Linked DNA regions of Drosophila melanogaster. The gene in region 1 interacts genetically with each later gene. Each region holds a gene or a part of one and is shown on either strand. Other genes may lie near its edges. The genes, in order: corolla and GlyRS.

What was found.
Region 2: of corolla (region 1) and GlyRS, changing one enhances a phenotype caused by changing the other (phenotypic enhancement), as found in Drosophila melanogaster (one study listed by BioGRID).

What each region holds. Positions count from the first base shown.
Region 1 is NC_004354.4:17,629,207-17,633,796, reverse strand, and holds corolla (corolla), read left to right. Parts: upstream 1-1,749; 5' UTR 1,750-1,797; coding exon 1,798-1,915; intron 1,916-1,979; coding exon 1,980-2,270; intron 2,271-2,427; coding exon 2,428-2,615; intron 2,616-2,667; coding exon 2,668-3,735; 3' UTR 3,736-4,006; downstream 4,007-4,590. Other genes in the region: ND-24 (NADH dehydrogenase (ubiquinone) 24 kDa subunit), read right to left, coding at 364-534, 689-1,207, 1,337-1,375; CG8326 (uncharacterized protein), read left to right, coding at 4,374-4,456, 4,526-4,590.
Region 2 is NT_037436.4:15,093,252-15,098,207, reverse strand, and holds GlyRS (Glycyl-tRNA synthetase), read right to left. Parts: upstream 3,067-4,956; 5' UTR 2,947-3,066; coding exon 649-2,946; 3' UTR 522-648; downstream 1-521. Other genes in the region: sstn (stepping stone), read left to right, coding at 4,947-4,956. UniProt on the Drosophila melanogaster protein: Catalyzes the ATP-dependent ligation of glycine to the 3'-end of its cognate tRNA, via the formation of an aminoacyl-adenylate intermediate (Gly-AMP).

The DNA.
Region 1 (4,590 bases):
TAATTAGTAATGGAACATGCGTACGTATGCAATAGTAAACATCCATTATAATTAGCAATGGGAACCTGCCGTTTCCACTACAAAATAAAATCATTTATTGGTCAAGATATGAAAAACGCACATTTGGCTTGCATTGGGGTTCTGGCGATCTTCCACATCTAATTGAATGTACTAGTATTCTCGAGTTCGTTGGGAGTTATTATTTTATGTGTAACCTTTCAAAATGGAAACTTTCCAATGGAAAGTGAGCATATTTTTAAAAAAAAATCCAAAAATCCTTTATCAATGACCTCTATAAGTTGCTTAACATTTATTTAACTTTCGTTCGACAATCAGTGATAGGTTCTGCTCCTTGCTCATCCTCTACAGACCGGCCTGCAGACCAAAGCCAGGACCCTTGGGCTCCTCGCTCAGGGAAGTGGGCTCGCCCTTTGGCTCGCTGGCAAAGCGTCCGTTGCGTGGCCCAGGGGGCGATATCTTATCCGCCTTCAGGTCGTTCAGGATGTCCTGCATGTCCTTGGATGTCAGATCCTCCTGCAAAGTAAAAAAAAAACGTTAGCAATGTTTGCACAATATAGAGTCGATTTCAGCGCATTAAGATTGAAACGCTGGACGAGGCTGAGAGTGAAACTGGCGTTTCCTACAAACAAATGACCAGGAAACACATTTAGCAATTAGAATTGCTTACATAGTAGTCATCGTTGATCGCCACCATTGGCGCATTGACACAGGCGCCCAAGCACTCGACCTCCGAGATGGTGAACTTCCTGTCCTTGGTGGTGTCGCCGACGCCGATGCCCAGCTGCTTCTTGCAGGTCTCCAGGATGTCGTCCGATCCGCGGAGCCAGCATGGTGTGGTGGTGCACACCTGGATGTGATACTTGCCAGTGGGCTTGCGCATGAACATCGTATAGAAAGTGGCCACCTCGTAGACGCGCATATTGGGCAACTGGAGAATCTCGGCCACCTTGTGCATGGCAGAGATTGGCAGCCAGCCGTACTGGCGCTGTGCCAGATCAAGCAGCGGGATCATGGCGCCGCGCTTGTGCCCCTCCGGATAGATGCTGAGTATGGCCTCCACGCGCTTCTTGTTCTCCGCCGTGAACTCGAACGGGATGTTGGGATTATCCTCCGGTGTGTCGCGATGGACGAACAGATTGTCGCTGGCCCGGGCACTGCTGGTGGCAATTGCCCGGATGTTGGCGCGCTGCAAATAACAACACATATCCTTAATGTTATTGTTTTCCTGTCGCCAATTATATAACTCGGGGAACAGGTTGCCTTCCCTGGTTGACACCGCGAATTACTGGACAGTTTGGATGGCTGCGCTACTCACCACGGCGGCCAGTGTTTTGGAGGCACAGTTTGTCAGCATTCTGGCGTTTCCAAAATAATGAAAAGGCTGAAAATTTGCTCTTATGTTATGTGAAGTCCGTCGGCTGCTGTCAGTTTTTTTTTAACAAGCACCGCTTACAGCTGATTTTCGGCGGAGCGTTTGCCAACACTGGCACTTGTCGTCAGAGATGAGCAAATCTCTACAAATCTTGTACAACATTAATAAAAAAAAGCTTAAACAAATAAAACTTGTAATTAAATTAATATTCAGCGGTACGTTACATTTTTTTATTCCTTTTTAAAATAAGTTTTCTAAAACAGTAAGCGATATATATCGCTGTGACTTCAGTATCTATGACACTTTTCAACAATGATCGCTGTGCCTTAGCATTCGATATCCGATAAATTACTGAACGCGCAAACTTGTAAGCTTATCGGGGGGAAACATTGAACGGACAAAATATGGAAAAATATCCACTTGTCAAAGAATTTATGGGGCAAAATTGGCCAAAAGATACCAAAATGGCGCAGCTCGAGAAGGAACTCAAGAAAAGGAAAGAATTGATCGTCGAGGAGCAGAGTGAGTGGGCATAATGCGCGAATCTCCAAGTAAGATTTATACATACATGTTTCTGCTTGTTCAGTTGTAGGGCCGCGTTTGGAGCAGGTGCTATTCGACCTGACCTTGGTCAAGCAGTGCGCCTTGGTAGTGGAGGATAACGGTGCCGGTATGGCACAGGCCAACACCATGATACAGGACTGTATGTTCCAGATCACGCGAATTGAGGAGCTGCTCGAAATGGCCGGGCTGCAGGACATCCTCTACTACACGGTGCATCGCAAGGAGCAGGAGTTCCAGCGCAAAATTAAGCTGCAGGAGGATTTGGCCGAGCAAGAGAATCAGCAGAACACAATCCTCGAATCGCGCAGCATCGGTAAGATTTTGTATGAGGTATTATTGAATACGGAATCCATTTGAATGCTATATAATCATAAACAATAAAAAACATTTTGTTTAATATTTTTTACCCTATGTGATAGTATAAGTTCATTTGTGTTATTTAAATGATTCTCAAGTAGCTTCTATTTCAGTCCAGGAATTCCGAAAAGAGCAAGCCTTAAAAAAAGAGGCAGATAAGGAGCTAGCCTCAGTGGACGACCAACTGGACCAGTCGGATCGCGAGTGGACAATTACGCTGAGAAGTATGACGGATAAGCTTAATAAGAAGATAGTCAGCGTTTTACAGATGGGAAAGCTGATAAACGAATTGAAGGAAGAGGTGAGTAGCTGCGAAATATCCATTCCAAGTGAATAACTTTTCCGTTTTTCAGTTGCAAAAAAGGAATTTGATTAAAACGGGTGTCACTAAGGGCGCTGAACCAAGTTTGGCTGGTGTTCCATCCGCTAGCACCATTTCACCATTTCAGTCCGCTTCGGATTTCCTCAACAACTTCATCTTTAAGAATATCAGACCAGATGACAATAAATCCATGACGAGCGTGAATAGAGAGATCACTACTAAGAAGCTGGAGACTCCTCTGCGATCCATTTTGATCAAATGCAAGGAGGTCGAGTCTGTTGCCATTTCCAACTCGCCAACAAAGCAAGTGCGTTTTTCTCCCTATCCAGAGATAAGCCATATCGAAGAGGAGAAATTTGAGAAGACCGATTGGCTTTCTCCTTCAGAAGAGGCAGGTGTCCCAAATGCGGAATTAGAAGAGGACAGTGACGAAATGGAGGCCACAGACGAAGATTTTGAGGAAATATCAGAAGAAGAATTCGAAATGGCGCTGAAAGATGAAGGATTTGAGCAGGAGGTAAAAGTAGAAAAGTCAGAAGAGGTTTTGCATCTAGAACAGGATAGATATGATGAGAAATCTGGCTCAGAAGTCGAGGAATCCGTATCGGATGACAAGGAATCCGGAGGGGAGGCTTCAGGAGAGGAGGAGCCGGCTGATGCGGCCAAACAAGTAAAAATCGGCGAAAACCCGAAGACTGATGAGCAGCTATCCAATGAAATTTCCGATAAACCACAAATAATTAGAGTCGACACTCTCTCTCCCTTCAAAAACATATCTTCCTGGGCCAGCGACGATATACCCAGCACCTCCAAGGGCACTCTTAATCGTTTTACTGCAACCCAGTTTATGAACTATGGTAGCAATCGCGATGAAAACGAGGCGCCGCCTTGCAAGCGACTAAAATTGGAGGAGGAGGAGTTCCCAATGAGCCAACCAATGCCGGATTACTTTAAGCATCCGTCGTCCACATTCAACAACTTTGATGATCAATCACTTCGATTCAGCTCGCCCCACAACAATTTTGACGATGATTACCTGCTGAACTTCAGCGATGATAATGATGTTACACCTACTGCCGCCTCGGCGTACATACTTTAAATTGTTAACGTATTTTGGTCAAAAATTAATGTATGTTCTTTATAAGAACGGACAATTAATTAATATCCAGATACTTATTCATTCATTGCCATTTGCAATCAAAAAAAATTTCACTTCAGCTAAATTATTTGTAGCTTTATAATGAAATTAATTTGCGTACATAATATGCATATGTACATTTAAATCATACGTATTCAGTTCGAAAGTGCCGTTTCAGACTTATTCTTCATTTTGTCGTTGCTTATAAACTAATAAAACAATAAATTAAGACAAATTCGTGACTTTAAATATTTAATTTTACTGCAAACAGTAAATTTTACCACTTGCAATAAAATACTTTTCTCATTACAGCATATAAATCTTTATTAAAAATGTATATTATAAAATAGGGGAATATGAAGACTACTTAATACAATACATAGTGTAAAATACATTTATATATTTAATCTAATATATATTTAACTTTAATATTTCATTTGTAATTCTGGGCGCCAATGGTTTGAGTCCAAGCTTTAATCGATTTGGTATATTTATGGTTTGTTTTGGTATTTGTCAGCATGCATCGCGCTTAGTATTTTAACCCATGCTGTCGATACCACGAGTTTGTTTTACAAAAATTGAACCAAAACCCAAAATAAATGGCTCGGAAACGAAAGATTCCCGTGCGCAAGCACCACGGCGTCCGTGATCCCCTCAAGCAGCTGGAACAGAAGGAGAAGAAGTTTGTTCATAGTGGCAAGTCAGTCGAAAAAGGCAGCTAAACTAATATCTGCACCATTTCACATTTCAGACTTTCCAAAGTAACGAACAATCCGCCTGTGAAAAAGGATGAGCAGCAGGTGTCCTTTAAGTTCC
Region 2 (4,956 bases), on another chromosome or scaffold:
AAATTGGATTCGTTTAATATCTCATACGTATTTATGGTATGACCACCGCTCATTTCATTGAGAATACCAGTGACTCACCGTGTGTTGTTAAACGTCACAAAAACCGCGCGGTTTCCTATGCATTAAAATTGAGTTCCCGCAAAAATAAACAAGAATCAAATGTAATTTTAGCATAGCAGTGAGGACTGGTTACATATTTATTTGGAAACTTGCGATTTAAATCTAAAGAAAAAATGGCCTATAATTCGTATTACTTTCCCTTGTTTATATTTTTACTCTTTGTGTATAGTTTGCGTTTTTAAAAGGAATTTCACGTTTTATATTACCAATTTTAAGTGTAAATAAATCATAATATCCGGTAAATTTGAATTGTCATAGATCCAAACAACTTTAAATGTGCATATTTAAAATTATATTAAATAATTTAAAAAGAAATTTCACCGAGAAAAAATATTTTTTGAAAATAAACATCAAATTCATATTGAAGATAAACACACTCCCATTTCAAAGCGCAAAGCATTAAATGTTGCATATTTATTGAATTTTATAAGAAATTATTGAATTATTGAATTTTATTTATACAAAAATAAGAAAACTTTGAAACTCTGTAAATGCGTGCCAAGCGAAAGAAACTCCTTGATCAACCAGTTACTTGCTGGCCTCCTGCTGTTCGAACAGAGGATACTGTTCGGTGACACTCTCCCAGGTGGTTCTCGCCGTCGACAAGTCCTTGACGACGCCCACAACCTCCTCCAGACCGACGCGCACCTGTTTCATAGTATTCCGATCTCGCAGAGTCACCGTATGCGGTTCCTTTAGAGTGTCGAAGTCCACGGTGATGCCATAGGGTATGGCAATCTCATCCGTGCGGGCATACCGCCTGCCAATGGATCCACTGGAGTCGTCCACCTTGTGCGAAAGTTCCGCCTTGGTCAGGGCAGAAGACAGTTTCTGAGTATAAGGTTGAAAGTCGGTGTTGTTGGACAGCGGAAGGATGGAGCACTTGATGGGCGCCACCAGAGGCGGTAGCGTAAAGTAGCACCGCTGCTCGTCGCCGTCGCGGCATTGGAAACTGTGCTCCAACAGGGAGTACATGATGCGACCAATGCCGAATGAAGGCTCAACCACACTCGGGATGAACTCCTCCACATGGACCGTTTTCGTAGAGTGCTTAACGCTGATGGTGTCCTTTCCGAGATCGTGGCTTTGGCCATCGGCCGTGGTCAGTTTGTATTGACCATCGCCAGCCAGCTGTTCCTCTACCTTGGTTATCTCCTCCAGCGAAAGCTTAGCCAACGCATCCGTGATGTTCTTTGCCTCCTTCTTGAAGGTCTTTCCGAGAGCCTGCTTGTTTGGCACAATCTCGCTGACCTCGACCGTTTTGGGAGCCGGCAGACGCTTCTCGGCCACCAAACGCACACCTGTGGCGGCCGTATGCTGTCCCAAATCGTAGGCACTGCGATCCGCACATCCTACGCACTCCACCCATCCGTAGGAGGTAAGAATTTCGGCATCCCAGCAATCGCATGCATAGTGAGCCATCTCATTGGACATGTGCTGCCGGAATCGCAAGCACTCCGGTTTGATACCAATGGCCAACAGGAACTGCTGAATGCGGGCCATATAGTAACCAAGTGTCTCATTAGCCACCAGTTTGGATGCCACTGCTTCGCCGATTTGCACCTGAGCGGCAGACTTTCCATCCATCTGGTTGCACGCCGAGTAAAGGGTCAACTTTTCCGATTTGATGTTGCCAAATTTGGGATGGTCCTTGAGCACGGGATCACAGAAATGTTCAATCTCTGCCATGGTGAACTCTCGCACACGGATCAATCCCGATCGGGGTGAGATTTCATTGCGGAAGGAGTTGCCAATTTGAGCCACAGCGAAGGGAAGCTTGCCTTGATTGAATTCCAGCAGTCGCTTGAAGTTGACGAAGATACCCTGGGCAGTTTCGGGCCGCAGGAATCCCTTGACCAAGCCAGTGGGTCCAATTTGGGTGGCAAACATCAGGTTGAACTCAATCGGTTCTGTTAAATCATTGCCGGTTAATGGAGATTTGATGTTGTATTTGGCCAGGACACCAGCCAATTCCTGTTTGTTCAGGCCATCCAGTTTAATGATAATATCCTCACACTCGGCCTGCAGGGCGGGAGTTGCATCCTTGGCCTTAGATAGCTTTTCCAAAGCCTGCTTAATGAGATGATCCAGGCGGAAGCACTCGCCGGTCTTGACATCCTTGACCATCAGATCAGCGAAACGCTCCACATGACCAGAGGCTTTGAGCACAGGTTCGGGAGTCAGAATAGAGCAGTCCACCTCCAGCATTTGCTCTTCGAGGGCGAAATACTGACGCCATAGGGCCAGAATGTTGGACTTGAGGGCACAGCCCATGGGTCCAAAATCGTACTGGCCGGTGATGCCGCCATAAATTGCGAAACTCTGGTCGTAGAAGAAGCGACGCTTGAGTAGATCCTCCATCTTCGCGCGATCGAAACTAACGACACTGGGGGTCAGGGCGAGCTCTTTGTCCTCCAGCAGCTTCTTGCGTGCCTTCAGCTCGGCTACTGCCTTTTTCACATCGATCTCGGGGGCACCCTTCGCCTTGAGATCCCTCACCAGGTTACCCTGCTCCTGAACTCGTTCCCTCAATGGGGCAAGTTGAGCCTCAATCTCGGGATTCGACATGATGAACTCGGCAGCGGCGGATCTTAGTTTTACCTTTCTATTTTGCTTCTTGGTGCCCCAACTTGTGGTTGCAGCTGGCTGCTGCGGTTGCGTTGGTGGAGGTGGTGGTGGTGCGGAGGGAGTAGGTTTTGTGGTAGTGGTGCTAAAAAACACTTTCGTGGCAATGTGCTCGCTCCACGTTGTTCTTGCAATCTGAGTTCTCACGGCTGTGGTGGCGCTGCGCAGGTGGGGTAGCGCTTTTAACAACTGCAATGACATAAAGAGGCTTTTATTTTTTCAGCCGAAAAACGCGAATTTATGTAATAAACCGTCCAATTGGCTACTGCTGCAATACCTTCACTTTCGGCTGCAATTTCGACTTGGATGAGTCTTAGTCGGCCGGCTTGCAGCACTGTCTTTGCACAACACTGATTATGGTTAACAGAGCTGCTCAGTGATGCGCAATGTTGCGACTTTGGTAAATGTTATTTGTTTTTATTGTTTTATATTTATTTTTTATTTGCTATATTTGGTAAATGTGTCTTGGATAGTTTGGTTTCAACATAGTTTCAACATATTCTTTCATCTTTACTTATAGTTGAATAAGCGATGGAATTATTATTTAATAATATTAAAAAATTAATTAAATTTAAAAACAATGCTCTGATAAAATTAAGGTATCCCAAAATCACTGTTACCGTGTCGGCAACATTGATCACTTGTCCCTAACAGGGCGGCTGATAATAACAGCACCTTATGATGTTTTTCAGCACTCCAGTACATCGATATCGGGTAGGGCCTTCTTCGTTATCGATATGTTTAGTTTTTGTTTTAATTATGTAGGCGCAGCATTGCAGTCTGGTTTTTCCCATATAATTTGCTCAATTTTGGTTTAGTTCGGCCGAACTCAAGTGCTGCCCAAACCAATTGCTCAAACGCGTAGCGCACAAATTGAAAAACAAGCGGTTAATGTGAAAAACAGGACGAGTTTAGTTGTTTTCTATCCGAGGGGACGCGGCGTTGCAACAACAGCGACGCTATGCGACCGCATTTCGAGCGATAAAACAGAAAGGTGTGCTTCTCTCTCCCTCTCTCGGCACTCTCTCACCTGAGCTGCTAATACAAATGTTGTTTTCCTGCCAATTTTCCGAAATCTTTATTGCAAACACTTAAAAAATTAACTCATTCACAGGCGCTGCCACACATAACGGTTGATGTTTGTTTTTACGACAACGCACACACACGTACACCGGCCAAAGAGGCAGCGGTCACAACAACAAAGGTCTTCGTTCGGTGAGTTGCGAGTTGTTTTTGTTTAACCGTTTTTCGTTCTTGACCTGTTTTTGTTGTTGTCTTGTTGTTTTCTTTTTTTTTATGAGTGGGCCAATCGATCTGTATAAAGTATGCATTATAATTTATTTATTAGTCATAAGCGTAGTTTGTTATTGTACGTGTATGTGTGCACACCATTTTACATCATTTAACATGCACAGTGGAGGTTCTTTAATTAGAAACCAACCCCCACGATGAAAATTATTAAGAATGCGGAGAAAAAACCAGTTTGGTTCCTCTCAGCGAGCATCCACTGTAGGCGCACTTAATTCAACGACTTTTGCACGTTTGATATTAAGTCATCGCCGGCCACGAAGGCCAAACTCAAGACTGTACGAAACAAAACCAAAAAAATGTTCAAAAACACGGACACAACAAACCTAACAACACCTCATCGGGATGCTCTATGTTTTGGGTTAAAGTTCTGGCCATTTTTTTGAGAGGGTTCGCTTCAAGGTTTACTGTGGTTGTGGTGCGTGATGAAACGGGTTGGAAATCGGAAGCAAACAAAAACTAAGTCTGTACATACAACAAAAAGCATTAATATCCTAATAAACTAGTGCACGTCTCTAATTCAAAATGCTAACTCTGAACGAAATCATCCAGGGGTATTCGACAGCTCTGATACAATAAGAATTTATACAGTATATTTGAAAATAATTCAGATAGTTTTCGTAGACTAACTAAGAAAAATCAGCTTCTGAGTTACAGACTCATTCTGTTATATTTTCTTTCTTGTTTCAAAATGTTAAAAAAAAAATGTAGCAAACAAAAATGGAATGGTTAAAGTTTTGTATCAGAGTGGGGTGAATACCCCAAAATAAACCCATAAATTACATAAAAACAAAGGAGGCGACTGATCGAAGACTGCTTGTCTTTTCTAGGATCCCCTGAAATACCAAAACCCGCACCAACAACCCACCAACGAAGCCGACGAACCACTGGCGATGCAATTGA